Linked DNA regions of Oryctolagus cuniculus. The protein of the gene in region 5 interacts with the protein of the main gene of each other region in a pairwise test. Links are inferred from orthologs where the notes say so. Each region holds a gene or a part of one and is shown on either strand. Other genes may lie near its edges.

Region 1 (4,173 bases), on a different chromosome or scaffold from region 5:
ACGCGGAGCAATTACCCGACCGAACGGACATAACTGCCCAAAGCCCTCTCTCCCGGGCCCTGGGTGCCCAGAGTCCATCTCCAAACCCCGAGGCCCGTGAGCGCGTGCTCAGTCTGTGTTGCGTGAATCACACGATGCATGGGTTAAGGAGGGCGGGAAGACGAGGCAGGGGATGGAGGCAAAGCGGCCTGTGTGGACAAACAGTTCACAGAGAGATGGGTGAGGGAGTGGCTGACTGGATGCCATCAGTGGGTGGGCGGGCCGACGGATGGCCGACGGTGGTTGGGTTGTCAGAAAGACTGGTGGACACAGGGTGGGAATGAAGAGGCGAAGGCGGGGAGGACGGCCGGGGGCTCCCGGAGAGCTGGCTCCTGCCGGCTCCCCGCCCTCCCCGCTCTTTCTCCGCACCTGGTGGCCTCCTGTCGCTTGTGGAAGGTGCGATTGGGGAGGCTGGCAGACGGGAACGTCTCGTCATCTCCCAGCACGTGTGCCTTCCCGCTGCGGTCAGAGGCCTGGACGGGGGTCTGGAGAGCTTTCCAGGGCTGCCTCTGGGGGCCTGGTTCGGTGGGGCCAGATCAGGGCCCACCCTCGTCCCGGCCCGCGGGGGCCAGCCCAGCCCCAGCCCAGCCCCAGGGCTCAGCCCCGCGCTCGCTCACCGCAGTCCAGGTTCTGCTGCAGCTGCCTACGCAGCATCTCCAGGTCCCAGGGCCCCTCCAGCTCCCGGGCCTTCCGCCTCCTCCTCTGGGCCCCGGGGAGGTGGCCGGAGCTGGGGCTGCTCCTGCGGCTCTGGCTCCAGCTCTGCGGGTCCCCAGGGTGCTGCCCCTTTGTCAGGGGCCCGGCCCTCCTCCTGTGGGGGGCCCCGAGCTCCTCGTCCTCGTCCTCCTCCGTCATTTCTGAGCACTGGTCCTCCTCGGAGAGCAGCCCCTTGCGGGGCAGCTGGGGCAGCTGGCGGGGGCTCAGGTCCCTCTCGGGCTCCTCCTCGGCGCCCATGGCCTCCCCCTCCCACTCCAGCGCGGGTCCTGCCGGCTTCCCCGTCGGCCAGAGGGCACGCTCGCTGGGCACCTCCAGCCCTGGGTTCTCCCCTCTGCCCTGAGGCGAGGGGCTCCAGGCCCCCAGCTGCTGCTGCCTCCTCTCAGGGCTTTGCACCTCCATCTTCTGGCAGAAGCCCAGGGCGTCCGGGAGGCTGGCCACGGACCCGCGCCGGGACCTGAGCTGGGGGAAGGGCGGGGCGTGGGGGCCGGGGGCCGAGGGGCCGCTGGGCTGGGACCCCGCGGAGGCACTTGTAATGAAGCTCTCCCAGGCCCACTGGAAGGGGAAGGAAGGTTTCCGGGGAGCAGCGAAGACACTGAAGAGGGAGAGGGCGGGGCGGGGGTCGGGTCAGGGTCGGGTCCGGGTCCGAGCCACGCCCACCCGCCAGCCCCCCTCCAGCCCGCCCCTGCCCCTTACTCCTCGGCCTCCGCGCAGCTCTGGGCTTTCTTGCTCCTCCGCCGGGGCCTGTGGTCCTTCTTGGACGTCTGCCTCGCGCTCTGAGACCTCTGCAGCAGGCTGCGAACCGGGGCGCCCTCGCCGCTCCTGGGGTTCCCCTGGACCAAGACGGGGTGGGGAGAGGGGAGGCCACCTCTACACATCCCTGGAGTCCTTCTCCTCCCCTGCACACCCTGACTGGGCCCCTCTGAGACCCATCACCACTCTCAAGTCTTCCTATTGAACTAGCAATGGCTGGGGCTGGGGCGCAGTGGGTTAAACCCCTGCCTTGCAGCGCCGGCATCCCATAGGAGCGCCAGTTCATGTCCCGGCTGCTCCTCTTCCCATCCAGCTCTCCGCTAATGGGAAAGCAGTGGGCGATGACTCAAGTCTTTGGGCCCCTGCACCCATGTGGGAGACCTGGAAGAAGCTCCTGGCTCCTGGCTTCAGATCGGCGCAGCTCTGAACACTGTGGCCATCTGGGGAGTGAACCAGTGGATGGGAGACCTCTTTCTGTGTCTCTACCTTTCTCTGTCACTCTGTCTCTCAAATAAATAAAATAAATCTTTGAAAAAAATAGCAACGGCTGCCATTGATGAGGCTCCTGCCACCTGCTCGGGCCTTTCTCGCAGAACGCATCTAACCACGCCCGGGACCCAGGTCTCACCGTGAGCACACATGGCTGGGAAGCCGTGGAGCCGGGACCCAGCCCCGTGCCATCTGTCCCCAGCCAGGAGGAGTTCACGAGTCCCCAAGGCAGAGGGATGAGGACCGTTTAAGGGGTGGGTGTGCCGATGCCCAGGTGTGCCCCAGAAACACGCCCAATTATTCCATCTCAGTTAAAACTGAAAAATCAGTGAACAAACTGAGAGAATGAACACTAAATAAGCAATAAAGACCTCGTCAGATGAAGCAGTGTAACGAGTGGACAGCTCTTCTGACGTCCCGTCCGATCCCGGAAACCTGTCTCTCCTGCGGGGTCCATGTCCCCTGGATCACACCGTCACCCCGAAGTCACCCTGTGCCCCTCCTCCACCCCCTCATACCCCTCCCCTGGGGCCTCAGTCCAGTCCTGGCCCCTGAGCCCAGTGCCCGCCTGCCTCTGGGCAGTTGGAAGTCCCCCCCCACGGGGCCCCTCACCTGCTCTGCCTGGGGGATGCTGGACAGAAGGTCAAGCAGCCTCGTGGCCGTCCCTGGAGCCTGAGACCGAGGGTCCTGGCCCGGTCTCCCGGGTGAGGGCCTGGCCAGCTGTGGGTGGGTGTGGAGCATGTTGGTGTCCTGTCCCGTCCCCACCCCCACGTCCACCACAGCGTGGAACTGTCCTTCCGGCCATCTCCACGGCAACCGCTCCCAGCCCGTCTCAAGCGCTCTGGCTAAAGGGACCTCAGGGAGGGGTCCTCCAGGGTAGGTGAGGACCACGGCCAGCCAGGGGACAGTTCAGCTGGACGCTGAGGAGCGACCCAGGCCTGGAGGCCCACAGGACCAGTGCCACAGCCCGCCGCCGCCACGGACCCTGTGTGAGCGGCTCTCCTGCCGTAGCCTCGGCCTGTGTTTCCCCGTCCATCCGCAAAAGGGACCCCAGGACTGGGTCACTCTGGAGGCCCAGGCAGGCTGCAGGGAGGAGGCCTTGGGAGGAATTTCGGCCCCGAAATCTGACCCCAGCCTTCTCGGCAGTGCCGAGCAAAGCCCTGGGATGTGAACCCCCACAAGGCCCCCGCGCCGCCCCCCGGGAGCGGCCTTGCAGGCTCTGTGACTGCTGCTCCTGCACCTGGGCCGTGGGCCCGGCTCAGAGGTCTGCTGCGCGATCACAGGGCGAGGCTTGGGAAAGCGGGCTGCACGGCGGTGAGGACAGCGGCCAGGCGCTGTGGCGCAGGGGGCTGGCAGGTTGCCTGAGACGCTCCCATCACCTGAGCGTCTGCTGGGTTCCCGTCCCAGCTCCACCTCCAATCCAGCTCCCTGCTGGTCTGCGGCTGGAGGCAGCCGCGATGGCTCCGGGACTTGGCCCCTGCCACCCACACGGGAGACCTGGCTCCTGACTTCAGCCTGGCTCAAGCCCAGCTGTTGCGGGCATCTGGGGAGTGGACTAGTGGATGGAAGACCTCTCTGTCCCTCTGCCTTTCAAATAAATAAAACAAAAAATTTTTAAAGATTTACTTATTTATTCGAAAGTCAGAGTTACAGAGAGAGAGAGAGAGAGGTCCTCCATCCGATGGTTCACTCCCCAATTGGCCGCAACGGTAGAGCTGCACTGATGAAGCCAGGAGCCAGGAGCTTCCTCCAGGTCTCCCATGCAGGTGCAGGGACCCAAGGACTTGGGCCATCTTCTACTGCTGTCCCAGGCCATCGCAGAGAGCTGGATGGGAAGAGGAGCAGCAGGGTCTTGAACCGGTGTCCATATGGGATGCCGGCACTGCAGGCCAGGGCGTTAACCTGCTGCGCCACAGCGCCAACCCCTAAAACAAATCTTTAAAAAAAGAGTTGCTAGTACTAATTAGCCAGGGCGTGGCCCCGTGAGAGGGGACCCTGGTCACTGCCGCCCTCGACTGCTCTCATTCCGTCCTGCACCACATCCACCGCGGGACACCCGTTCACTGGCCCTGGCTGTGCTGCAGACGAAGATCATCACCCGGATGCACCAAGTCCGCTCTTTGCGGGGCCAGCCATGCCCCCTGCCGTCTGTCTCCGCCGAATGTCACCCACGGGGGCTCT
Region 2 (4,042 bases), on a different chromosome or scaffold from region 5:
GCCCTTCGGCCTAAGCCCCCCACGCCTGCGCCCCTTCCTGGCTGCGGCGCCCGGGCCACCGGCCTCCAGCGCTGCCGTCTGGAAAAAGAGCCAAGGTGAGTGTCGGGGGCGCGGCCTCCTGCAGGGAGCGGCGGGCTGGACTCCCCCTGACTGGACCTGACCCGCCCCTTTATCGCAGGTGCTGGCGGCAGCCCCCGAAGACCCCAGGGCGGCTCCGATGCGCCCTCAGGTGCGTGCAGGTGACCACCAGGGAGGGTTGGCGGGGCTTTCCTTCCTGCGCCCTGCAGGGGCAGTGCAAACTGGCAGGCATCTGTGCCCGTCCCGTTCCCAGGTGGCTAAAAAATGCCACCCCGAAATACAGGATTTTGCCTTAAAAACCACTGGCACCTGCGCCTTCCTCTGCGCCGGCGTTCCCGTGTGAAACTCGCGCCCGCCCAATCACCGTGGAGCGCTCCTTTCCCCACCTGCGAGGGTTCGTGGGCGCAGGGGCCGCGGATAAGCCGAGTTTACGGCGGTGATGACGGGCGGGAGAAACGGATCCAGCTAGGCCTGGCCGCCTGCGCACGGGAGCTGATGGGGAAGCGAGGAAAAGTCCAAGCCGCCGCCCGCGTCCGCCGCCCCCGGGCTAGGGTCGCGGGACTGATAGGGTCCCGCCTGCCTGCCCGCAGGGCACGCGGCTCCGGGCCGCATCGTGTGGGAGCACACGCGCGGCCGCTACTCATGCATGCAGTGCGCCTTCTCCACGGCCTCGCGGTCTGCCATGACCCTGCACCTGGAGGACCACCGCCCTGGCGCCCCCGCGGCCCAGGCGTCCGGGCCGCGCCCCGACGCCTCAGCGGGTAAGGCCAGGGGACAGCGCCGCTGCAGAGGGCGGGGGGCACAGGGGTGAGGCGAAGCCGAGGCTCACGCGCTTCCTTCTCCCCTTTCCCCCCCACCCCAGACCCGGCCCCGCTTGCACCCAGTGCGTCGCCGCTGCTGTCAGAGGGGGAGCTGCCAGTCTTCTCGCCTCTTTGATCCGGGCTGAGATGGGGGGCGGGCGGCGGAGTTGAAGAGTTTTGTGATTTGAGGTGGGGGACAATAAAAGAGGCGCGATAAGCCAGCCTGTGCTGTGTCTGGGTCCCTTGCCCTCTAGTGCACACGGGGCCAAAGCCCAGCAGCCCAAGAGCTCCCCCCCCCCCATCAGCTCACGCCGGTCGCACAGAAACAGGGCCTGTCCCTCAGCCAAGCCATGTCGCATGTTCCCTGTCGCCTCTGTCCTGGGACCTGGGACCCAGGTCTCCAGTGCACTGCCACCCTATCCCTGGGTGGGGTCGAATTCTCAAGTTGTTGGGAGTGGGGAACCGGCATTTGGCAAAGCAGTGAAGTTCCCCACCTCCCTTGTAGGAGTGTCTGGGTCCCAGCTCTGCTGCTCACCGCAGCTCCCGGGAGGCAGTCCGAGCTCACCTGCTCGGGTCCCCACCACCCACAAGGGAGACCTAGATGGAGTTCCCCGTTCCTGGCTTCAGGAACTGCAGGCATTTGGGAAGTGCGAACCCCCAGATGGGGCATAGCTCTTCTCTCCCCCCCACTCGATCTCTCTGCCTTCCAAAGAAATTAATATTTTAACATTTCTGGGGCATCCGTGGGGGTGGGGGCTGTCTGCAGTGCTGGGGTCCCAGGCGACCCTCCTTGCTGCCTGGGCTCCCGCTTCATGGACGCCCGGTCTGAGTCCACCTCTACCCCATCCATTTTGAGAAGTCACACTGGGGTCATCCTGTTACCGCAACCCAGAGCGTCTTTCCCCTATGGCACTGCACCGGGTCAGGGCCTGGCTGCCCTGTCCTTACCCCTCCCCGCTCATGCCGGACCTCTGCCTGCTCCCCTGCAAGCCTGAATGCCCCCCGGTCCCCTGCAGTCCCGCGCCCCCCAACCCTCCCTCTGGACAAAGCTGTGACCTTTGTCAGAGAGGGGCTCCGAGAGCATCAGGACCCGAAGCAGAGTCCTCCTAAGTGGGGTTTGAGTTCCGCCCGGCAGGGGGCGCCCGGGAGTGTCTGAGGGGCGAACCCGTGAGTCTGGCGACCTGTCAGGCGCCCACCTGCGCAGGTGCAGAAGCAAGTGGGCCCGAGATCGGAGGCTCCCACTGACCACGGTGAGCCGCAGCAGGCGTTTTGGCCTGGGTTGAGGCACGGCCAGATGCCCGTGCAGCAGCCGGCAGTGCCCACACCAGCGGGTTACCCTGACCGCGGATCCTGGCCCGAGCACCCGCATCCCGGGCTCCCGACTTCTCGTGCTCAGCCCTCCCACGCCGCAGATTCCCACAGCGGCGCGCTGAGGACTCCCACTCCCCCAAGGCGGACCCTGGCCCAAGCTCAGTTCTTCCAGCTTCTGGTTCTGCGGCTCCGCGTAAAGGCACCAAAAACACAAAGGGGAATGTGGTGGACGCGCCCCCTGGCGGCTGGCGGCCGCCCCTGCAGACGGCGCAGGGCTCCATGCCTGCTTCCTGGGCATCCAAACTGCGCTGCTCTGTGCTGGGGGCGTCCACATGGATCCTGGGGAGTCAGCTGGCAGTCAGGCGTTTAGCCTGCCATCACTGAGCGCCTACTGTATGCTCCTGACCATTACCAGACCTCCTGAGAATCCAGTTCCCAGGGGAACCCACATCTGGGAACTGTGACCCAGCCACGGGCCCCCGAGTGGCTGTTTAGCTGCGCACTGCAATCTCCCAATGCGGTTTCTAACAACCCCGGTCCAGGCCCCGCCCCAGACCAGAAACTGGAAGTTCTGCTGTTTCCTAAGCTGCGCAGGCGATTTCCACGCATGACCACACAGGATCCAGGAGGGTGCTTTCCAGCCTTCCTCCCCGGGACAGGGCCCAGGTTCCTCCAGCCTCCCAGGGGCCGTCCTACCTTGCTTTCCTCCCAATTACTGCCTTCTGGATCCTTCCTTCTGCATTACCTTCCATCTCAGGGAACTTGGAATGTCCCTGCTCCCCCATGGGCGAGTTCTTGGACATCATGGCCCCGCCCCACCCCCAACACACACCCCTAAATCTGCGGTCCCCCAGCCGCCAGCCCAGCAAATCTGTCCCAAGAACAGGGAAGTTCTTGGCTTGCAAAGATGTGTTGAAAAGAGGAAGGTGTATTAGGCAAGACGAGCAGGCAGCTGAGGCCTCACCCATCATACAGGGACCATCCCCCTCCTCACTGGATGCCCCGACCCCTGGCCTTCCGGCCTCAGCTGGCCTGGGGGCAGCAAGTCCCCAGGAGCTCCCACTGGAAGCAAGGAGGCAGCAGAAAGACCAGGGACAGAACGTTCCAGTTGGCGGACATGCCAGTTACCCTGACCTGATCATCGCACATTGCACACGTGGATTGAGACACCACGTACTACCCCACAGATATGTGCAATCATGTGCCAATTAAAAATGTAAAACAGAATCGGGCATTTGGGCCCGCATCCCCCGTGGCAGTGCCTGGGTTCGAGTCCCAGCTCTGCTCCCAATTCCAGCTCCCTGCTAATGCACACCCTGGGAAGTACCTGGGTCTCTGCCACTCCCATGGGAGACCCGGATGGAGTTCCTGGCTCCTGGCTTTGGCCTGGCTGTTGCTTGCATTTGGAGAGTGAACAGGTGAATGAAAGATCCCTGTCTCTCTGTCATTCTGCTTTTAAAGTAAAAATGAAAATAAAGAGGACTGTGATATGAATGTGCTGATTCCATGCACTGAGCAAGGAGGTCAGGGTGGCTGGGGACAGGCCGGGCGGGGCCGTCTCCGCCTCCTTTCCTTCTTCCTCTGCCCTCCCCACCTTGTGTGCTGGCCTGGGGAGCAGAAGCCACAGGCACTTCCTGAAGGCAGCAGCCTGGTGCCCCGGCCCATCACCAGCCTGCAGACATGGTGAGTCCCCCAGCCCCGGGGCAGAGGCTGGGGAGGAAGGGGCACAGCAGGTGGAAACTGGAGGCAGGGGTTCCAAGAGCAGAGACGCGAAGCGGGTGCTAGGGAAAGAGGTCGGGGGACACAGGAATAGTCGGGCGGGGAGCCCCCGAGACAGGAGCCCGGGCTGCGGC
Region 3 (3,500 bases), on a different chromosome or scaffold from region 5:
ACAGAGGCGACATCCCGCCCGGGAACAGAGCCCCAGGGGGCTGCGGCCGAAGCCGCGCCCAGCGGTGGTTCTTCCCACGAGGGCCTCTGGGTCCTGCTCCCGCTGCCCGGGCGCCTGTGTCCCACGGTCCCACCGACCCGCGCTGTCTCCTCTGCTCTTCACCTCCTCCCCAGAGCCCGACGCTCCTGGGACTTGGTGGGCGCCCAGTGGACACTCCCTGGCTGGGCAAGGGAGCGTGGGGACGTCACCCATCACCATGGGGCACGCTGCCGTGTGGTGACTGCACGGAGCCGCGGACAGGTGTGGCGGCTCGGACGGAACCCAAGTGGGAACCCAAGCCCACCTGGCAGCTTTCTCGTGACCGCCTGGAGCCCCAGAGGGGGCGGTCGCCCGCACCAGGAACTGGGCAGCCCCAGGCCTCAGTCTGGGGCTGGTCTGTACACCCTCCTCACACCTACTGTGCCGGGACCACATGGCCAGGGAGAGGGGACCCCATCGTGCCGCTGCCTCGCGGGGAAAGGGAAGGAGCTTGGCTGCCCCCCACCCCCCCAGCAGGCCCTGGTGGGGGGCGGCCCGAGCCGTACCTGCAGGGGCGTGAAGGCCACACTGGAGGCTGTGCCTGAGGTGCGGTCACGGATGGTGGACTTCCCGCCGTACACCACGCTCTGCTTCTGCAGGGTCCGCTGTGGGTGGGAGGGCACGGGATGAAGGGGCAGCCCCGCCCCCGTCCCTCACCCCGCCCCCACCTGGGCCCCGCCCATACCTGCAGCGTCTTGGAGATCCTGGCTTTGGTAGCCTCGTTCACCTGCGTCTGCCGCACGCGCCCACTGCCCGACTTGCCCAGGTGGCCCAGGCTGAAGCCCAGGTCCTCCTGGTAGGCATCCTCCTCGATCTGGGGGGGGGGGTGCCCGCAGTCAGGTGGGGGCCCTCAGCACACAGCGCCCTCTCTCATGCTTGGGGGGAGAGGGTGCGAGGGCAGCACAGGTCTCAGCACTGGGGGCACTGAGCCCAGCCGCAGGACCAGAGGATGCTCAGAGCACAGGGGGCGGGTGTGGCTGAGCCTGGGAGGCCGGTAGGCCTGGGTCCTGGGAGCCTGGTGAGGGTGGGCAGCGGAAGGGGAGAGCCAGAGGGGCCCTGGGTGGGGGGGGCGGGGACGGGGCAGGACTGGGGGCCCTGGGTGAGGGGCGGGGCCCACCTCCCCGAAGCTCATGCGGTTGGCCTGCTTCCGGATCTCCGTGAGCCCCAGCCGCTCCTTCATCTTGCGGTACCTGGGAAGGCGGCGGGTCACGCGCGGGCAGAGAGCTCGGGCCTCTTCCTCTCGGAGGCCCCCGCCCGCGCCCCCCGGGTCTCTCACCTGCGGCCGCCTCGCTTCTTCCGCTGCCCATCGAGGGGCGCAGGCAGCGGCTTCACCTGCTTCACGGGGGGCGGCTCCTGCCACTTGTCGAACTTGCGCTCTATCTCGTCTTTCAGCTCGTAGCCCACCTGGGGGGGGACAGGGAGGCGGGGGCGGCTGCACCACGGGCCATCAGCCCGCAGCACCCGACGGCCTTGGCGGCTCTTGGGTGCCCTTTGAAGCTGCTGCTTGACCAAGCTCTCAGCCCCGGACAGTGGGTGGGCCGGTCGTCCAGCTCACACCCGCGATGCCTGCTGCTCTCCCGGCACCGCCCTCAGGTCCCGCAGGCCCCTGTTCAGCACCTCCAAGGTGCCAGGTCCTCCCGAGGGCACAGAAGGTGCCCCATCACCGCCTCACCCCCCGGGGGCTGGGGGGGCTCCAGCCTCAGGCCGCCTGCACTGACCGTCCCACCTGGAACTTCCCCCAGGGGCCCTGGGACTTGACGCTGACTGCACTCGGGTGCAGGGCAGAACTTCCTGGCCAGAGAAGCCCTCCCGCCGACCCCTCACACCCCAGATGCTGTTCTTCTTCTTGGCATTTGTGGGGCAAGTGTCACCTGGCTGCTGCCCCAGCCCCTACTGGAGTGGGAGCCCCAGAGGCGGGGCTTTGTGTGCGTGTGTGCAGGGGTGGCGGCTGGGCACCTGAACACTGCCGGGCTGGGAGCCGGCACACAGCAATGCCCAGGACGGCAGGTGCGGCTGCCGAGAGCACAGAGCCAGCAGGGCCCAGGTCCTGGCCCGGAACGGCTGACATCACAAGGCAAGAGGGGTGTGGCTGGGGTTGTGGGGTGGGGAGGGCGCCCTGGGGTCACGAGGTCCCTGACGGAGGGGGGGTCTGCAGGGGCTCCTGGCTGGCTCTGGAGACAGACAGGAGCTCCGAGCCAGGGAAGGGGTGTGTGTGCCCCGTCAGGGCAGTGCTCCTGGGCTGGGTCCCCAGAGCGAGCCTCACCTTCCCCTCCGTGCTCTCGTGGAAACTGTCCACGCGGGCTGCCAGCGTGCACTTGGCGGCCACCAGCCGGGCTGCTTTCCGCCGCAGATCCTAGAGCAACGGCAGGGGGACGCGGAGTCTGTGAGCCGGACAGATGGACAGAGACAGGGCTGCTCCTCCCCGAGGGGGCTTCACTCACACACACACACACACACACACGAGGACCTCTCTCTCTCTCTCTAACACACACACACACACACACACACACACGGCCCCTGCTCCCAACAGCCCCCTCCCATCGTGGGAAGGAGGCCAGGGCCGGAGGAGCCGTGTGCTGGGGTCGCTGTGGCTGAGGGCGGAGCCCAGAGGAGGACGCGGAGGTTCCCGGGGGAGCACCTGCAGCCTGTTCTCAACCCTGCTGTGCAGGTTCGCCCTGCACACGGACCCTCATCAGATGCTCGAGCACCAGGCTGCTGCAGTCAGCGCCCCCACTTGGCAGACGTGGAACCTGCAGCCGCACTGTGGCGTAGTGGGCTAAGGCTCTGGCTGCCGGTGGCGCCGGCATCCCGTATGGGTCTGGTTCGTGTCCCAGCTGCTCCGCTTCCGATCCAGCTCTCTGCTATGGCCTAGGAAAGCGGTGGAAGATGGCCCAAGTCCTTGGGCCTCTGCACCCACGTGGGAGACCCGGAAGAAGCTCCTGGCTCCCAGCTCTGGATCGGCACAGCTCTGGCCGTGGCAGCCATTTGGGGAGTGAACCAGTGGCTGAGAGATCTCTCTGACTGTAACTCTGCCTCTCAAGTAAATAAATAAAACCTTCTAAAAAACATGTGGACACTGAGGTTCCCGGCCACCAAGCGGGCCATGCTGTGGTGTCTTCGGCTTGTGCAGGAACTGAGCTGGAACAGCACGGGCGGGAGGGGCCCTCAGCCACAGGGCAGCAGCGTGGCCTGCGGAGGGCCTGGCTCTGGGCAGCAGTGCGCAGGTGGTGGGGGGCAGCGCCCGGGCTCCAGGGCCTGGGATTCTGGGCGGCCTGCTGGCACCCTGGGATCCGTTCCCGTCTGCTGCCTGCGGACTGGAGGACAGTGATGGGCGGGGCGAGGCACGCGGCCAGGAAACGCCGTCCACACGAGGGACGGGAGCCAGCACCGGGGACAGCCAGGCCATCTGTCCCGCAGCGGCT
Region 4 (4,193 bases), on a different chromosome or scaffold from region 5:
TGAACTTGTGTCCCCCGGTGCCTGGCTTCCGGAAAAATCAAGCCCTTGTGAGAGCCACTCCTGCGATTCCAAGCCAGGAAGGCTGGCAGGGCAGGAACTTGGACTTTTGCAGGGTGCTAATGGCCGGCGCTGGCAGGAAGGAACAGATCCGAGATGTCACTCACCAGAGAGACATGGAATTTATCAGGGCTTCCTTCTGCCAGACAAGGGCCCAAGTGTAACTGCAAAGGCTGGGATGGGCTGGGGGCGGGGCAGGGGGGAGCGTGTGGATTCTGAGTTCATGGGAAACTGCAGGGTAGGCCCGCTGTCCACCCCCACTTCTCCTTCCACCCACTCTTTGCTAGTTCTCCTTCTCACTGCTATCAGATGGTTACCATCTCCCAGCAAAGCCAAGAGTGGGGTGGGGGTGGGCACTGAGCTCCTCTTTAACTCCCTCCTCAAGGGTGGGAGGTACAAGGACCCCTCTGCCTATATCCCAGCTCCGAGAGGCAGAAAAACAAGATCCCCCTTCTCCTCTCCCCCCTTCCCGGGCCCCGGCCCTGGTTAATTTAACACCAGTCCTTGCCCCTCCATCCCACACCCTCCCAGGAGCCCCGCGGTTTGGCGAAACCCTTTTAAGAAGCAGGACTTCTGAATGGTGACCTCACCCCTTGGCGAACACACACAGTAGCCTTCAGAGCTGGCCTGCGGGGGCCGGCCAGGTGTATGATGTAGGCCAACAAAAAGGCGTGCTCAGAGCCACAGGTAACAGCCCCTCGGAGCACCTGCGCTGCAGGGAGGCTGCCTGGAAGCCTCCTAAGGAAGGAGGGGGGAGGGGGACAGCTTGGTGGGGGGAGACCAGCCAGCCAGCAGCTCTGGCAACCACAGGGACAGTCGGCTGCGTCTTCCCTGGGATCTGTTGATGGCAGCAGCTCGCCCGGGCCTCCCTCCCCGTGCACACACAAACACCACTTGACTCTGAGCACCAGAGGGAGAGCGCACTCTTCCCCCATTGCAACAGCCTGTTTCTGTTCCATTCCAGGCGGCACCGGGAACCTCGCCCCCCACCCCTCTCTCCCAGCCTGAAGTCAAACATGCAGAGGGAGAGGGTCTTCTGGGGAGCCCCGGATGCCTGCTCCCATAGCAGCTGGGCAGGGCTGGGGTGAACCAACTCATCCCCGTGTCCCGGTGCCCAGCGCTGTGCCACACTGGCACAGCCCACAGAGAGGGACGCTGCCGGGGACAGCTCTATCCTTGGGGTCCATCCTTGGCTGTGTGACCTTGGGCAAGTCGCTGGCCCTCTCTGGGCCTCAGTTTCCGCACCTGTATCCCTGGGTTACAGGCATCTCTCCCCCTAGTAATGCCCGATCTTAGCCGAGTGGCTCCCAGCGGCAGTCTGGGAGGCCTGAGCCCGCAGTTCGCGGAAGGCAGCCGAGGGGAGCTGGGGAGTGCTTACCTGACCCGGCGCAGGACGCGGCGAGCAGCAGGCAGAGCAGCGGCCCGAGGCGGCCGGGGGCCGGGCCGGCGGGCTCCATGGGCCGCGGCTGCGGAGCGAGGAGGGAGAGCGGCCGTGAGTGCGCGCTCGGGCGGGCGCAGGCTGGAGCGGGGAAATGACTAAGGCTCCCCCCCCTCCTCTCCCCGCCCGGCCGGGCTCCCCCCCCTTTCCCCGGAACGGGCGCCCGGAGCGGCTTAGGAGCCCCCGGCGCCGCCACGGTTTTCGGAGGAGCCACCCCTCCGCCCCCCAGGAAAGCTCGGCAGACGGGGAGGGGCAGAGACCCCGAGAGCGCCAGAAGCGAAGGCAGGAACGGCCAGGGAGAGCGGCAGGAGCGAGAAGCAGACCCAAGGGAGCCAGGCAGAGAGCCAGAGACAGAGAGAGGCGCGAGAGGGGGAGAAAGCGAGCGAGCGAGCGAGCGAGCGAGGGAGAGCGCGCGGGGCGGCGCAGAGCGAGACAGACAGCGCGGGAGAGAGGACGCGAGCGCAGGGCGCGGGGCAGCGGCCGAACCCGCCGCGCGGGGCCGCCCCCGCCACGGCCCACCCGCCCCGCCCGGGCTCCTCGCGGCGCCGGCGGCTAGCTCGCTCCCGGCCCGCAGTCCCGGCCGCTGCCCCCGCCCTCCCGGCAGCCCGGCCCCCTCCCGCCCGCGCTCCCCGCCTCCCTCCCGCCCCGCCAGGCTGCGGGGCTCCGGCCCCGCCGGCACCTTCTCTGCGATCGCCCGCCCGCGCCCCCGCCAGCGGCGCGCCCCAGGGGAGGGAGCGAGGGCTGCGCGCCGCGAGCCCGGCCCGGGAAGGCAGCGGCGGCCCCCGCGCCGCGCCGCGCCGCGCAGGGGGCCCCAACACCCCCGCGCGGGGCACGGCTGCAGCCCCCGGCGCAGCCCGCGGGGCTCGGGACCGCACGAGCAGCCGCCGATGCGGGCCAGGGGGGAAGCCCGCGCGCTCGCCCCCCGCCCCGGAGCGCCCGCCTCGGAGCGCCTCCCACTCCCACCAGCCTGTACCTCCGCCGCGCGCGGAGCTGGAAGGCCGGGAGGCGCAGCTGGAGGCTGCCCGGAGGCCGAGCCCGGGCTGCACTTTGCGCAAACTTGTTTTCCTAAGGTCTGCGCCGCGAGCTGGCTACATGGTCCTCTTAAGGTGGACTGGGGAAGTTGCAACCGCCCGCCCCTGCTCCGGACTCCGGCCACGGTGGGTCCCGGCTTCCCGCTGGCGAGAGACTGCAGGCGGCGGTGGAGGGGGCAGTGGCGGGGCCGGGGACGTGTTTGCGGTCTCGCCCTGCCCAGGCGGCCCTGCCCCTGTGCCCCAAAGCTGAAGACCCCACTTGGGGATGAGGGTGGGGGTGGGCCGGGGGACCTGAGTCTTTCGGAGCCCGGCCGAGGTGGAGAAAAAGCAGGAAGTAAGTGAGGGTAGGGGGAAGGGGAGAGGAGAGAGAGAGATGATGGTACAAAAATAGCGTGTGAGTAGGAAGGACTCCAGTGCCGCCTGGAAGAGAGGCGCAGGAGAGGGAGGAGAGGGGCAGGAAGGGAGAGGGGGCCGGTCCGGGCCCCTTCCCGGGAGGTGGGTTCCTTCTGAGCAGGTGCTCTGGGTCCAGGAGGGCAGAATCAGGGAGGGGAAGGCCCGGGCAGGGAGGACCTGGAGGCCTGGGCTCCAGAAAAGTCAGGGAATGGTGGGGGGAGGGGGGGGGCAGACGCAGCCTCTTTCCCGCGGAGAAAGCTCCCGTGCCCTGGGGAGTGCAGGTCCGGCCAGGCTGCTAGGGCATCTGGTGGAAGGGGGCCAGCACCAGGTTGGAAGGGAGCACAAGGCCCTCTGCTATTTGGAGGGTCTCTGAGCTGGCCATCAGCTTGGGCACAGCCAGCTTCCTTTCACACGGGGGCAGTGGCGAGGAAGTGAATGAACCAAGTCTCGGAGGGAGGCCTGGCTCTGTGTGGACAGAGCAGAGGGAGCTGAGGCCCAGAGAGGGCATATGCTTGCCGCAGGCTACACAGCAAGGCCTGGGGTAGAAGCAAGGCTCTCAGGCCCAGACCTTTGCAGTGGTCTCCCTCCCGCAGTCTGGCCTGCTGGTCAAATCCTGATCCTGATTGAAGACAGGTGCAGTTGTTGGGACCACGGGGCAGGCTCCCTGGGTTGAAGGCCTCTGGCCACCTCTCAGGAGCTAGCCCTGGCCTCATCCTTGGGGTGCCCCAGCTTCATCATCAGGAGGGAAACCCACGCGAGTGAGAACCCAGAAAGTCCACAGCGAGGCTCAGACGAAAGGACATGCTGGTGCCACCCGAGCAAGCATGACGCGAGCACGTGATAAACGCCCAACACGTTTGACGACCATCCCAGCGACCCCACTGGGCCGTACAAGGGAATGTTCATTTCTTTGGGAGTGGGAGATGACAGCAGCAGCCCTCACACAGGCCCCTGCGGCCCGGGAACTTCCATTCGAGAAGGGAGATGGACAAGTAGGCGAGTAGAAATAACTAAGGAACACCAGAAGATTGAGATCAGAGCGTGAGAAGAGATGAGCTCATTTAGGTAAGGGGCGCCAGGTAAGCCCCCCGCCCCCAAGAAACTGGGAGCTGAATCGCAACGAGATATTCCAGGAAGACTGAGGGACACCACAGATAAAGGCCCCCCAACCCAGGCTGGCTCCGTGGGGTTGGGCGATAAAGGGTGGTAGATGGTGGTCTCGCTGGTGGGCCTTGATGGCCCAGGTAAAGAACCTGTGTTTAGGTTCAGCCCCT
Region 5 (4,213 bases):
CCCTGGACTTCCGCTGCTCTGCTCGGCCTGCGCAGCCAGCACTGGGGGCCGCCGTCCAGGCTGACGCGGGTTGAGAGACATCAGAACTGGACCTCACTGGGAACAGGGTGGTTGCAGATGGGACTGGCAGGGGTGAGGTGGCACTGGAGCAGCAGGGAGGAGGCTGTGGGGAGCACGGCCCTGTGGGCACCGCCGCCCATCCATGCCCAGAGGGACAGGCCTGCTGGGAAGCAGCCCCGAGACCCCGCACCGGAGTCCTGCTGATGCCGGATTGACGCCGGGAGCCTCCAGCGGGGAGGGAGGTGCAGGGGGCGCCAGGTGGGGCCAGGAGGGGCGCAGGGGGCATGGCCCTGCACACAGCCCCCCTACGGGGCTTGTGCGATTCCCCAGCCTCAGACCTGCCCTGGCGTTGTCCCCTGAGGTTCCCGGAGTGACTGTGGCTGCAGCCCAGGGCGGTGCCGTCGTCAGCCACGCGCCTGGCGCCTGAATAACAGCTCTTTTCTCTCCCGTTGCCCGAGGCCAGGGTGCCGGCAGGCTGGCTCCTCCTCTCCTGCCCCGTCCTCGCCGGCCTCGCCTCTGCACATGCCGCCTCCCAAGAGGACGTCTGCCCTAACGGAGCAGGGACCTCGTCTGCACACGCGGTCGAGTTCGCGGCTTGGGGAACAGGGTCAGACCCGACATGGGGTCTGTGCACCCCGCTGTGGGTGCCAGGATGCAAAACTAGCAGCCCCGAGCCCCTCCGCCGGCGCCCAGCACGGGCTGCTCCCCTCAACCTCCCTGGCCAGGCCTGGAGCAGGTCCAGGGGCCACTCAAACCCAGCCCTGCCCTGTGCTGCGAGGACAGGGAACCTCCAGGCCAGGGCCAGGCCTGTGTCCTCAGAGACCGAGAGCCCTGAGGAGGACGGGCCAGGAGCTGGGCGGCTGCGGGCAGAAGCCCCGGGTGCGACTCCAGGGATGGGTGTGTGTGTGCGTGTGTGTGCAGAGGAGCAGGGGCTGCGGACCCCCACCTGAAGCCTGACAGGGGCGTGGCCCAGGCGGGGTCCCGGTACTGTCCACAGGCCCCAGTGCGGCAGCGCTGGCCGAGGCGTGCCCATCTGACGCCGGCAGAAGCCGGGGTGCCCGACGGGGCAGGCGGGCCTGGGCTGGTCCCCGCAGTCTCGCCAGGGACCCAGCCCGGCGCCAGCCCCGGCACGAAACGCAGCCTGGACGTGCGGGCGCAGACCTACTGGGTGCCTTGGGGACCATGGCCCTGCTAGGGGAGAGCCCCGTCGCCTCCGGTGCGTGAGGACGCGTGTCTGGGGGCGGAGTGGGCCTCAGGCCCGCCCTGGACCCCCGCGGGCAATCGCGCGCTCGGGGAACGCCCACCCCCACGGACCCCCTCGGCGCCTGCGCACAGGAGGGGCGGAGGCGGGAAGAGGCCGGAACGCGGCGCCCGGGCTCCCGTTTCCGGCCGGCGGGACCCCAGAGGCGCACCGAGGGCGCCCGGACCGCGGGCGGCGGACTCGGTCGCTATGGCAACGCGGCGGGGCTGGGCGTCGCCCGGGGCCGGCGTTCCCGGTGAGGCGCGGGCGGTGGTCGCGGGGCGGCGCCGCGGGTGGGGGGCGCGGGCGCCGCGGAGGCCTGTGGGCGCCCGCGCTGCGGGTCCTGAGGGCTGCTGGCCGGCGGGCGGGGTCGGGTCGGACCCAGGCGGTGCGGCGGACCCAGGCGGTGCGGCCCAGTGTGGGGCTGACAGGGGAGCGGCGGGGGCGCTGCGGCCCCCGCTGCCGTCTGCTCGGATCCCCCCGGTGCCCGCCCACCTGTTCGCGCCGGAGCGCCGCGCTCTCCTCGCCCCGGCCTCGGCCCCTCGGTGGAATCCCCGCCCCAGGGCGTGTCCGACGTCTGTCCCGGTTCCGCTCAAGTCGGGCCGTTGTGTCTAGGGTTGGTAAATATTTGAAAGGCAGAGGTGCAGGGGGTGGGGGAGGGAGGGAGAGAGAGGGGGGATGGGGGAGAGAGCGAGAGCGCGCGAGAGCGAGAGCGCGCTTCCATCGGCTGGGTCACTCCCCAGATGTCCCCAGCGGGGGCTGGGCCAGGCCGAAGCCGGGAACCTGGACCCCGTGCGGGTCTGCACACGGGGGCGGGGCCGGGAACCTGGGCGCCCTCGCTGCCCTCCCGGCACGCGCGGGGAGCTGGATCGGAGGTGGCGCAGCGGGGCTGGGACCGGGCCCCCAGGTACCCCGGGGACACCCGCGGCTTGAGCCCGGGTCACGTGTGTCCCTCTGGGACTTCGTGGGAGACGCTTAGACTGTGCAGGTGTTCTCGCGTCACCGCGGAGTCCTTGCTCCCAGCCCTGCGCCCCTGCCTCGCTTTCCTGCGGGCTCATTGACCATCCAGCTGTGTGCCTACGGCGCTCACCCTGAGCCCGTGCGAGCCCGCGCGTGTGCTGTGCAGGCCTGCTGCCCGCTGGCCCAGCGAGGCCTGTCCGCCGTGTTCCGGTGGGAGGCACTGCGAGAGCCTCCGACCTCGGCCTGGTTTCTGTTTATCTTCCGGTGTGCAGCCAGGGATTTCCCAGAGGCGCTCTAGTGGTTGTTATGGTGGCCTCGCTGGTCTCCGTCTGGTTTGGTTTTGGCACACGGAGCATCTGTGTGGGTCCAAAAGTGGCCGAGTCTGAGCGCGAAGCTCCGTGACCATGGCTTCTCCTGCATTTGATTCCCCACGTTCTAACCTTTTGGCAGGGGTGGGGGATGTCGTTTCAGAGAAAATAACCCCTCCCCGTGGCGCCAGCGCGCACCTCCGTCCGCTGCCGCCTCCTGCCCCAGGTTTAGAAACCGTGTGGCCACTCTGACAGCAAAGGGAGGGAAAGGAGGCTTGGGCTCCAGGCCAGTAACTTGTCTCCTGGACCCACGTCCGCGCAGCCAGTGTTGAGCTCCAGAGCGCAGGGGTCACTGTGCCCTCCCGCACAGGGGGCGCGCCCCTGCACCGCCCGCAGGTCCCACAGGCCGAGGGTTTGCTGCAGCTGCGGGGCAGACGGGAGGCAGCACGCCCTGCCCGGAGCGGCTGGGCCGGTCACAGCGCTGGGGCGCATCTTACTGGTGGCTGAGCGGCAGGCCAGTGCGGCAGAGCTGCAGTGCCCCAGAGGAAGAGCTGGGCTGGCGGTGCCGCGGGGAAGCCGCCCGGGCTGCCTGCGTCCCACACCCGAGTGGGGTGCAGTCCTGTCCCCCACACCCAAGTGGGGGTGGAGTCCTGTCCCCCAACCCGAGTGGGGGTGGAGTCCTGCCTGCCACACCCGAGTGGGGGTGCAGTCCTGTCCCCCACACCCGAGTAGGGGTGGAGTCCTGCCTCCCACACCCGAGTGGGGGTGGAGTCCGGTCCCCCACGCCCGAGTGGGGTGCAGTCCTGTCCCCCACACCCGAGTGGGGGTGGAGTCCGGTCCCCCACACCCGAGTGGGGGTGCAGTCCTGTCCCCCAACCCGAGTGGGGTGGAGTCCTGTCCCCCAACCCGAGTGGGGGTGGAGTCCTGTCCCCCACGCCCGAGTGGGGGTGGAGTCCTGTCCCCCACGCCCGAGTGGGGGTGGAGTCCGGTCCCCCACGCCCGAGTGGGGGTGGAGTCCTGCCCCCCACACCCGAGTAGGGGTGGAGTCCTGTCCCCCACGCCCGAGTGGGGGTGGAGTCCTGTCCCCCACACCCGAGTGGGGGTGGAGTCCTGCCCCCCACACCCGAGTAGGGGTGGAGTCCGGTCCCCCACGCCCGAGTGGGGTGCAGTCCTGTCCCCCACGCCCGAGTGGAGGTGGAGTCCGGTCCCCCACACCCGAGTGGGGTGCAGTCCTGTCCCCCACGCCCGAGTGGAGGTGGAGTCCGGTCCCCCACACCCGAGTGGGGGTGGAGTCCTGTCCCCCAACCCGAGTGGGGTGGAGTCTGGTCCCCCACGCCCGAGTGGGGGTGGAGTCTGGTCCCCCACGCCCGAGTGGGGGTGGAGTCCTGTCCCCCAACCCGAGTGGGGGTGGGGTCCTGCCTTCGTTTCCGTCCAGCCTCTTGCTGACGTGCTTCCTGGAGGCAGCCAGTGATGGTTCAAGTCCTCGGGTTCCGGGTTCCTGCCTCCCTTGTGGGAAACCTGGGTAGAGTTTTTGGCTCCCGGCTTCTGCTGTCTCAGCCCTGGCTGGTGCAGCCATCTGGAGAGTGAACCAGTGCACGGAAGCTCTTTCTCTTTCCCTGTCACTCTGCTTTTCAGCTAAGTAAAA
Region 6 (3,500 bases), on a different chromosome or scaffold from region 5:
TCGGTAGTAAATCCGCACAGAGGCCACCTCCCGCCACTGGATCAGGACCTACAGGCAGGCGAGGAACTGAGGGGTCATCGGAACGTGTCCTGACTTCTGGGGACCCCCAGGCCCGCGACCGCAGCTCCTGAGGGGAGGAGCGGCTGAGGTGCCTGAGATCCACACAGCCACAGGACACAGCCCCAGGCCCCCCACAGCTAGCCCAGCACCGCAGGCGCTGAGACTTGTGGCAGAAGGGAATGAAGAAGTCATTACATGGGTATAATTCTGTTATTTAGCAAACAGAACATGCACGTATCTGCCCTGTTCCTATGAGAGAGTAAAATCACAGTAGCAAAACACTTAAAAAAAAATAAGTTGGCAGCCAGGGAGGCCTGTGGCCACTCCATACAGCCCTGAACTCCTTTCCCACCTACACGGCCTCCCCCTCTCTACGCCCTGAGGCTAAGCCAAGATTCCTGCTCTCCTTCCTCCTTACCAGGGCGGGGGTGCACAGCCTGGCCTCCAAGTCTGTCTGAAAACAGATGGGGCCTTGACCAGATGCAACTGTTCCCTCCCCCTTGGCTGCAGCTGTCAGGACCAGCGCCTGCCTTGCAGCCAGGGCTCCCACACACGTCTCCTAACGAGGCTGACTGGGGGAAGGGTCTGGCCTGGTGGTGAAGCCACAGACGCCCTCTCCCCATGTGACAGCACCTGGGTTCCAGTCCTGCCCTGCGCTCGCTGGCAGCTTCCTGCTAACGTGCACCCTGGGAAGCAGCAGTTGTTGGATTCCGGCCACCACACGGGAGACCTGAGTGCCTGGCTTCTGCCTGGCCCAGTCCTTGCCACTGTGGACATTGAGGGAGCGAGCCAGCGGATGGGAGCTCTGTCTCTGCTAGCTAAAAAGAGAGGTGAAGAAATACACGGGCAGGGGTTTGGCGCAGTAGTTAACATCCCGCCTGAGAACGCCTGGGTTCAAGTCCTGGCTCTGTTGCCAACTCCAGCTTATTACTAATTGCACCCTGGAGGCACTTGGGTCCTTGCCACCCAAATGGAGTTCCTAGCTCCCGGCTTTGACCAGGCCCAGAATTGGCTGTTGTGGGCATTTGGGGAGTAAACCAGCAGATGAACGATCTCTGTGTCTCTCTCTCTGCCTTTCAAATAAAACGAAAATAAATAAAATGTTTTAAATTTTCTAAATGCTCGGGCTCAGGGACTACTCTGTGCTCTGTCATTTGTTTCTGTCTGAAGGCGCTCTTTGTGGTCCATCATTTTCCTCCCACGGCCACCTCCTGCCAGCCCTCCCCACCCCCTGGGCACCAGTGCTACCACATGGCATCTCCTTGCTTCTACTCCAGTGGAACAAGGTGGTGATCTGGGGTCTCCTCCCACTGAAGATGACCAAGCACCTACCCCCTGGACACTGCGTGCTACCCAGAAAGCCTCTGTGGCCCAGAGCCTGTCCCAGCATCGTCTTTTGATGGAGGAGGAGGAGGGAAAGGAGACTAGAGCTCAGCGGTTCACAGTTTGTCCCCATGTGCAGAAAGTACTGGCTCAAGTAAGAAGCAGTTTATTGACTGTGTGCCGTGTTCTTGTTTCAGCAGATATGGATTTGTAATTCAGTAAAAACATGACATCCTTTTTTAAAAAGCAGTGATACTTAAAAAAAAAACTTTAATTTTACTTGTGAGAGACACAGAGAGAGAGACAGAGAGAGAGAGAGAACACTCCCATCTGAAGGTTCAACCCCTCCCCTCCAAAATGTTCACAGTCCCTGGGGCTAAGCCAGATCAAAAGCCGGGTGACAGGAACACAGTCCACGTCTCCCACGTGGGTGGCAGGGACCCAAGCACTTAGGCCACCATCACTGGCTTCCAGGGTGCATTAGCAGGAAGCTACAATCATGAGATGAGTCAAAACTTGAACTCATGGGGCCGGCGCTGCAGCACAGTAGGTTAAGCCTCTACCTGCAGTGCTGGCATCCTACATGGGTATAGGTTCAAGTCTCGGCTGCTCCACTTTCAATCCAGCTCCCTGCTGTGGCCTGGGAAAGCACTGGAAGATGGCCCAAGTGCTTGGGCCTCTGCACCTGCAAAGAAGGCCCAGAGGAAGCTCCTGGCTCCTGATCAGCCCAGCTCTGGCTATAGCAGCCATTTGGGGAGTGAACCAGTGGATTGAAGATCTCTCTGTCTCTCCTCTCTCCATCTCTAACTCTGCCTCTCAAATAAATAAATATTTAAAAAAAGAAAAAAAAGAAGTCTGGACCCCATGCCTCCAATACAGGACACAGGCATCTCAATGCCTGCCCCTGAACGAATTCTTATCAGAACCAGTACTTTCTACACATGTGGAATTCCTCATGCTTTGGGCCCCTTGTTCTGTCTGAATGTCTGGCACCACCCCCAACTCTTGCCAGGAAATAGTCGCCATACCCCCAGGGTGAGCAGCTTTGCCCTTAACCTCACCTTGGAACAGAGGGTCCTTCTGTAGTGAGCAGATGCTTGGGAAGTTTTCCTGGCTTCATCCACACAGGCCACGGTGTTCTGTCTCCAGTGGCGTAACACCCACCTGCAGGTGCACAGGCCTCAGCAGGGAGAAACAGGGGGACCCTCAGGAGTCATTCCTCCTCCCCGTTCTCCTGGGCTGGGGCTCTCTGCCTCGGGGGACCGGTCACACTGACACCAGGCTCACAGTGTGGCCACCCATGGTGCATTTGGAGAGCACCTGCTCAGTGCTGGGCACTGCTCCCTGTCCTCAGGAATTTCTGTGGGGCCAGAACCAGATGATGTCATCATAGGTGACTCACACTGCGATGATGAGAGAAGTTCGGGGGCCAGGGAAGCTGGAGGAAGGGCGTGTGTGCGTGCGTGCGTGCATGTGTGCGAGCCAGAGCGAGCTCAGGGAGCCCCTCTCCTCCTGCTGTCTGAAGTGCTGGACAGCTGCTTGGAGGGGCCCAAAGGAAGTATGGATGTGTTTAAAGCTAAGAGGCCCACCGCCTTCAGGCTGCCTGGAACAGCACGTGCTGAACCAACATGAAAGAAGGAAAACAAAGAGAGGCAGGAGCAAGGCCCACTGTGAAGGAGCACGTCCAGAGCTTAGAACTGGAGGATGGGCTTTGGGGAAGCTGCACGAGGCTGCCTGAGTGCCCTCCCCAGGGAGACGCAGGTGGCCCGTGATCTCTGCGGGGTGGAGCAGGCCAGGCAAGCAGCCTCGCAGGCTTTAGGGGAGCTGCTTTCTAAAGCCTCACTCTGCAGCCAGCAGACCAGGGCTTGCTGTGGCCAGGCCCGTTCATTCCTCAGCCTGAGCCCTGGGCAGGCTCGGGAGACTCACCGCAGCAGCTGCCTGTGGTGCCGCCTCTCCCTGGCTGTCACCTCCTGCAGGATGCTCCGCACCTGGTCCTGGTAAGTCTGTGGCGGACAAGGAGGGCTGGGGGCCGCCTCTGGGCCCAGCCTGCTCCTTGCTCCAGCCTTCTCCTTGCCTCAGTGGTATGGTTACAATAGGAAACGCCATGCCCAGAGCAT
Region 7 (4,243 bases), about 31 Mb from region 5:
CTGCTGGACCAGCACAACTGTCAATAAAATGACAGCTCAGGAGTGTCCTCTGGGGGAAAGAATAATACACCACTGCACTGTATGGTTTGGCTTTGAATCCTGAAGCTCTTCCTTCTCTCGGGCTGCCTGGGTTCCTGAAGAACGCTTGCCTTTGCCTCCCTCTCTTTTTATTCCCTCCCCCTTGTCTGCCCCTCCCTGTCCTGCTGGTTTTTTTTTTTGTTGTTGTTGTTTTTTTTCCTTTCCTCTCTCTTCCTTCTTTTCCTGGCTAGCAGATTCTGAGTTTTGGTTTGCCCCGACTCTGCTCAGTGACATGATAAGTCAGAATCATTTTCTACAGGGTCCCCAGAGACAGGAGCCAGCACTGACTTTTCCTTCTCTTGCAGCGTTTACTAAGGCAGACTGCTTGGAATTACTCATTTTTTCCCCAGCCAACCTCCAGATCTCCCTCCCGCCCATCAGGCGTTTTCAGAAGAAAACCTCATAGTCAGCGTGGTCGACCCAGCTGAAGGGACAGAGCCCAGGGAACAGACACTTCAGGGCAGCAGGAACAAATGTGACACCATCGGGCAGCTGAATTCACCTCTAAAGCAGCAGGAACCCGTGTCCCTAGGTTTTCCTCCTGTGTCGTATTTGCCTGTGTGTGCTGTCATCCAGAGCTTAGGACCCTGCTATTTCCTGCTCATTCATTTAGAATCCAAGTTGGGAAATACTAATTTGTGTCATTAAGGAGGAAAACCAGTCATGCTGATTTAAACACAATAGCTTACTACTTTTGCTGGAAGGTGACTAACTTATGCTGTCTCATCATCATCATCACCACCACCACTGTCAACATTGACGGAGCAGCTGCCATGGCCATCATGTTATTCAGGAGGTCACACATTAACAGTGGTGGTCGCTGACTTACAAATGAGGAGACAGATTTTCAGAGAATTTAAGTAAACTGAGAAAAGTCACCCAGGGAAAGAGAAACTCCAGTCTTTCCGCGGTATAGAAATCATTTGGTGAGCTTGTTAAAGGTAGAGTCCATTCAGTAGGTCTGTAACAAGCTCCCCACCTAGGCACAGGCTGCTTTTTTCCTTGGCTGCCTTTCAAGTGTAAGATATTTTAAATATTCAAACATACAGGACCCGACCAGCATACTCTCAAGCTGTAAAATTAAAAGTTTACTCCTCACCCCCTATACATGGCCTTATTTATAGGTTAATTCTTACACACTACTGGAAATGTAAAAGTACTTGAAATACATAAAGTTCCAGATTATCTTTTTTTTAGGGAAAAATACTGGGAAATTTTTATAAGCTTGTCCCTGTATTTCTGCAGTTAGAAATTATCCACCCTTCATTTTTCAATCTGGACAAGCGTTCGTAACTCCTTTTCAGCAATACGGTGAATCTTCAAGTTCACCGTTAGATGAGATGTTTTTTCTTTCCTAACTTTTCTCTAACTCCTGGCACAGCCATCGCGTGTTCTCAAACATCACACCTCTGCTATAGAACCACGCACCCTTCTCTGCCTCCGGTACTTTTACAAGAGGCAGCTGGAGCCCTTTTTCCCTGGAATGGAAGCCAGATAGAGGGTTTCTTCATTTCAAAAAAACAAAGTTGCAAAGTTCCTGCAGCCTGGCAGAACTGGAGAAGGGCAGGGGGCATCCTGCTGAGGACGCTCACCACCTGGAAGGCCTCTGTGACCACTCACACTTTTAAATCCTCACACTTTTAAAATGCGGCAAGTAACCAGACACAGATCAGGGACATTTAGAACCAGGGCATTTCAGAACTTTCCAAAGTCGCCCCTGGAAGATGGGGATATTGGGTGCCACAGGAAGCTCTTGGGAGCTCCTTAAAGAAGCAGTAGTCTTCCCCAGTGGCCTTGGGGGACAAGTCCTCTCTACTCCACAGGGCAAGCCACTCCCCCACCTCTACCCCAAAGAAGCCCAAAGAAGCTCTGAGCATCACCTCATCCTGTCCAAGATCATGCTGCTTTGTTACTAAAGCCAGAAGTCTGAACAGCACTTCTAGAGTGTGGCCTGAGGCATCTCTGTGAACCCTGAGCCCCCTGGCCACACTGATCATGGGGTCTGGGCAGGTCAGCCTGGACTTCTAACACCAAAGCTCGCCTCAGCCTGCTCAGGCTCCAGGTGTCCGGCTCACCCCGGCTCTCGTTCACACCCTGTGTGCATCGGATGCACACATAGATCTCTGCATTCTATGTAGACAGTAAATTCAAAGGACCGGAAAGCTTTGCGATAAAGCAGAAATAGCATCGGAAGAATCTTGGGAACCTGTCCTAACCACTGACACTTGCAGCTTTAACTGACTGCACACTGAAATGCGGAGAATCCCCCCAGCGAGCCGTGCCTGGTGCCTTTTGAAGGTTTATTCCTCTTTCCACTTTGTGCCCATAGGAACCAAACGCCCCTGGGCATCGCTTCATGCACATCTGCTCCCGAATGCAGAATTTCTTCGGGATACAACCAGCCTTCTTTCTGCACGCCCTCTCTTTTCAGAAGGGAGAGGAAAGCTCCCGGGCTCTCTTGAAAGCAAGCACATGGCTTAGGATACTCCGTTAAGTTCTCAGGACTTTTCTGAAAGCCTCGAATGCATGAATTAAATATGCAGCTGCCCATCACAAAGCCCGGTGGGCAGTCAAGAGTCCTCCCCCAGAACTTTGAAAGAGCAAGGCAAAGATCCTTACCTTCCCCAGCCAGCAGCGGACTGAGACAGCTGCCAGCCCAAACAGCAACTCAGCGAGGGGGATGCAAATCACCGCGCTAGGGACCGTGAGCAAAGTACTCAACAAAGCTTAACCACAATTAAGGGACCGGAGACAATTTACTGAGAGGAAATCCTTCCAAAGCTGCCGAATTTTGCCCTTTTCCTCCGTGAGAAAGTGACCTACATTTTTTTTAAAGAATACCAGGTTCGAAAAGATGCCCTCCTTTGTTTTTTTCTCTCTTTATACCCATATTTACGTATTCATTTTCAAACTTTTCCCTAGGCAAAGCCTGCATTCTGACGCTAACCTTTTATAATACCATGAACTTGCTGAAAATAAGGTTTGAGATCTTAGTTCTCCAGTTCTCAAGGGGTGTGGGGGGTTGAGAGTTGAATACAAATTAGTCTCTTTCACCATGAAGTGCAAGTAATAGGCGTACAAAGAAGATGGGATTTGTGGTGGAGACCCTTTCCCTGGCTTTAGGGGGAAGGGTGGTTTATCAGTGGTGATCAGAGGATGCCAAGGTGCCAGGGCGATGATGATGCACTAGAAAAATCACATCTCTGAGGAACTGAGGCTGCCTTTCACCAAAGTTGTCACAAAGCAGGACCAGGAGTGCTCACTGTTCCAGGGAGAATTCCCACCCCCAAATGTGAAAAATCGCACTTTGCCTTGGAGACAAGCTGAGTGACAAAGCTTCTGAGGTGACCTGAGCAGGGAGTAGGGGGAGTGTCAGCGGCGAGGGGGGTGAGGACCATGACAAAGAGACCCTTTGGCCCATTTCCCTTCAGGAGAAGCCGGGGAGAGGGTGGGCTGTAGGTCGGGAAGACGGACTTGGTGATTTTGCTGTTGAATACCCGCTGCTGGCGATCCGGGGAGCTCCCCTCTGGGAGCACAGTGGCTTGGCGAAGAGCGCCCGCATGTGCGTTTGATTACTTGCTCGCTCATGTTTACTTTCAGTTTGGTTTTGCGTGGTGTGCCTGCCTTGGCGCACTGCCAGCAGCCTTGAAGATGCCAGTTCCTCCCGGGACTCTGTCCAATCCCTGCACACCTTTGATCTGGGTCATCACCCAGTCCAATTGGATTCCATGCGATTTGGGAAGCTGGCCAGTTTTCCTCCTTTCTAATGCTTCTTTTAAGGGTGTGTCTGCATGGAAATTCTGAAATCAGGGAGTTTCTGGAAGGTGATCTTGCATGTGTGCTCATTTTGGGTAATAGGTCATGGCATTCTTTCTCTCTCTCTTTCTCCCTCACTTTCCCTCTCTCTCTTCCTCCCCTCCCCCCACAAAGAACTTTCCTTTGAGGTATTAACAAAGATATGCTAGTACCAAGAGAAGCAATGGGTGTGCCTTAGGTGTAGATATGTATTTTACTATTTGCTAGTCCATTTCCTGGTTTGAGAGCCTCGTAAGATCCAGGGAGCTACAGAAAGGAAAGCATACCCATTTCAGATGCTCATCCCAATCCCCACTGTCTTACCCATTTTGTTCTGAGTAGTTATGGAAGATCATATAGACAGTTAAAA

The links.
Region 1: the proteins of CCDC57 (region 5) and TSGA10IP interact in binary tests that used the Homo sapiens proteins (3 or more experiments, as listed by UniProt). The two-hybrid records come from large-scale screens. The link is inferred for Oryctolagus cuniculus from reciprocal best matches to the Homo sapiens genes CCDC57 and TSGA10IP.
Region 2: the proteins of CCDC57 (region 5) and PRAM1 interact in binary tests that used the Homo sapiens proteins (3 or more experiments, as listed by UniProt). The two-hybrid records come from large-scale screens. The link is inferred for Oryctolagus cuniculus from reciprocal best matches to the Homo sapiens genes CCDC57 and PRAM1.
Region 3: the proteins of CCDC57 (region 5) and PRPF31 interact in binary tests that used the Homo sapiens proteins (3 or more experiments, as listed by UniProt). The two-hybrid records come from large-scale screens. The link is inferred for Oryctolagus cuniculus from reciprocal best matches to the Homo sapiens genes CCDC57 and PRPF31.
Region 4: the proteins of CCDC57 (region 5) and tyrosine-protein phosphatase non-receptor type substrate 1 interact in a two-hybrid assay, tested with the Homo sapiens proteins (2 studies listed by BioGRID). The two-hybrid records come from large-scale screens. The link is inferred for Oryctolagus cuniculus from reciprocal best matches to the Homo sapiens genes CCDC57 and SIRPA.
Region 6: the proteins of CCDC57 (region 5) and SFI1 interact in a two-hybrid assay, tested with the Homo sapiens proteins (2 studies listed by BioGRID). The two-hybrid records come from large-scale screens. The link is inferred for Oryctolagus cuniculus from reciprocal best matches to the Homo sapiens genes CCDC57 and SFI1.
Region 7: the proteins of CCDC57 (region 5) and TMEM100 interact in binary tests that used the Homo sapiens proteins (3 or more experiments, as listed by UniProt). The two-hybrid records come from large-scale screens. The link is inferred for Oryctolagus cuniculus from reciprocal best matches to the Homo sapiens genes CCDC57 and TMEM100.

The regions. Positions count from the first base shown.
Region 1 is NC_091432.1:5,831,756-5,835,928, forward strand, and holds the start of TSGA10IP (testis-specific protein 10-interacting protein), read right to left. Parts: upstream 2,801-4,173; 5' UTR 2,734-2,800; coding exon 2,605-2,733; intron 1,584-2,604; coding exon 1,447-1,583; intron 1,346-1,446; coding exon 657-1,345; intron 557-656; coding exon 409-556; intron 1-408.
Region 2 is NW_027208201.1:4,532,389-4,536,430, reverse strand, and holds the start of PRAM1 (PML-RARA-regulated adapter molecule 1), read left to right. Parts: upstream 1-1,242; 5' UTR 1,243-3,869; coding exon 3,870-3,872; intron 3,873-4,042. Other genes in the region: ZNF414 (zinc finger protein 414), read left to right, coding at 1-95, 179-229, 669-839, 941-1,014. UniProt on the Homo sapiens protein: May be involved in myeloid differentiation. May be involved in integrin signaling in neutrophils. Binds to PtdIns(4)P.
Region 3 is NC_091449.1:4,557,696-4,561,195, forward strand, and holds part of PRPF31 (U4/U6 small nuclear ribonucleoprotein Prp31), read right to left. Parts: intron 2,432-3,500; coding exon 2,342-2,431; intron 1,483-2,341; coding exon 1,355-1,482; intron 1,269-1,354; coding exon 1,196-1,268; intron 893-1,195; coding exon 764-892; intron 684-763; coding exon 585-683; intron 1-584. UniProt on the Homo sapiens protein: Involved in pre-mRNA splicing as component of the spliceosome. Required for the assembly of the U4/U5/U6 tri-snRNP complex, one of the building blocks of the spliceosome.
Region 4 is NC_091442.1:27,586,426-27,590,618, reverse strand, and holds the start of tyrosine-protein phosphatase non-receptor type substrate 1, read right to left. Parts: upstream 2,801-4,193; 5' UTR 2,469-2,800; intron 2,064-2,468; exon of another isoform or gene 1,524-2,063; 5' UTR 1,515-1,523; coding exon 1,436-1,514; intron 1-1,435. UniProt on the Homo sapiens protein: Immunoglobulin-like cell surface receptor for CD47. Acts as docking protein and induces translocation of PTPN6, PTPN11 and other binding partners from the cytosol to the plasma membrane.
Region 5 is NC_091448.1:791,103-795,315, forward strand, and holds the start of CCDC57 (coiled-coil domain-containing protein 57), read left to right. Parts: upstream 1-1,413; 5' UTR 1,414-1,510; coding exon 1,511-1,556; intron 1,557-1,594; exon of another isoform or gene 1,595-1,916; intron 1,917-4,213. UniProt on the Homo sapiens protein: Pleiotropic regulator of centriole duplication, mitosis, and ciliogenesis. Critical interface between centrosome and microtubule-mediated cellular processes. Centriole duplication protein required for recruitment of CEP63, CEP152, and PLK4 to the centrosome.
Region 6 is NC_091452.1:24,698,068-24,701,567, reverse strand, and holds part of SFI1 (protein SFI1 homolog), read right to left. Parts: intron 3,387-3,500; coding exon 3,310-3,386; intron 2,548-3,309; coding exon 2,445-2,547; intron 49-2,444; coding exon 1-48. UniProt on the Homo sapiens protein: Plays a role in the dynamic structure of centrosome-associated contractile fibers via its interaction with CETN2.
Region 7 is NC_091448.1:31,403,550-31,407,792, forward strand, and holds the start of TMEM100 (transmembrane protein 100), read right to left. Parts: upstream 2,801-4,243; 5' UTR 2,698-2,800; intron 825-2,697; exon of another isoform or gene 581-824; intron 558-580; exon of another isoform or gene 478-557; intron 144-477; exon of another isoform or gene 50-143; 5' UTR 1-49. UniProt on the Homo sapiens protein: Plays a role during embryonic arterial endothelium differentiation and vascular morphogenesis through the ACVRL1 receptor-dependent signaling pathway upon stimulation by bone morphogenetic proteins, such as GDF2/BMP9 and BMP10.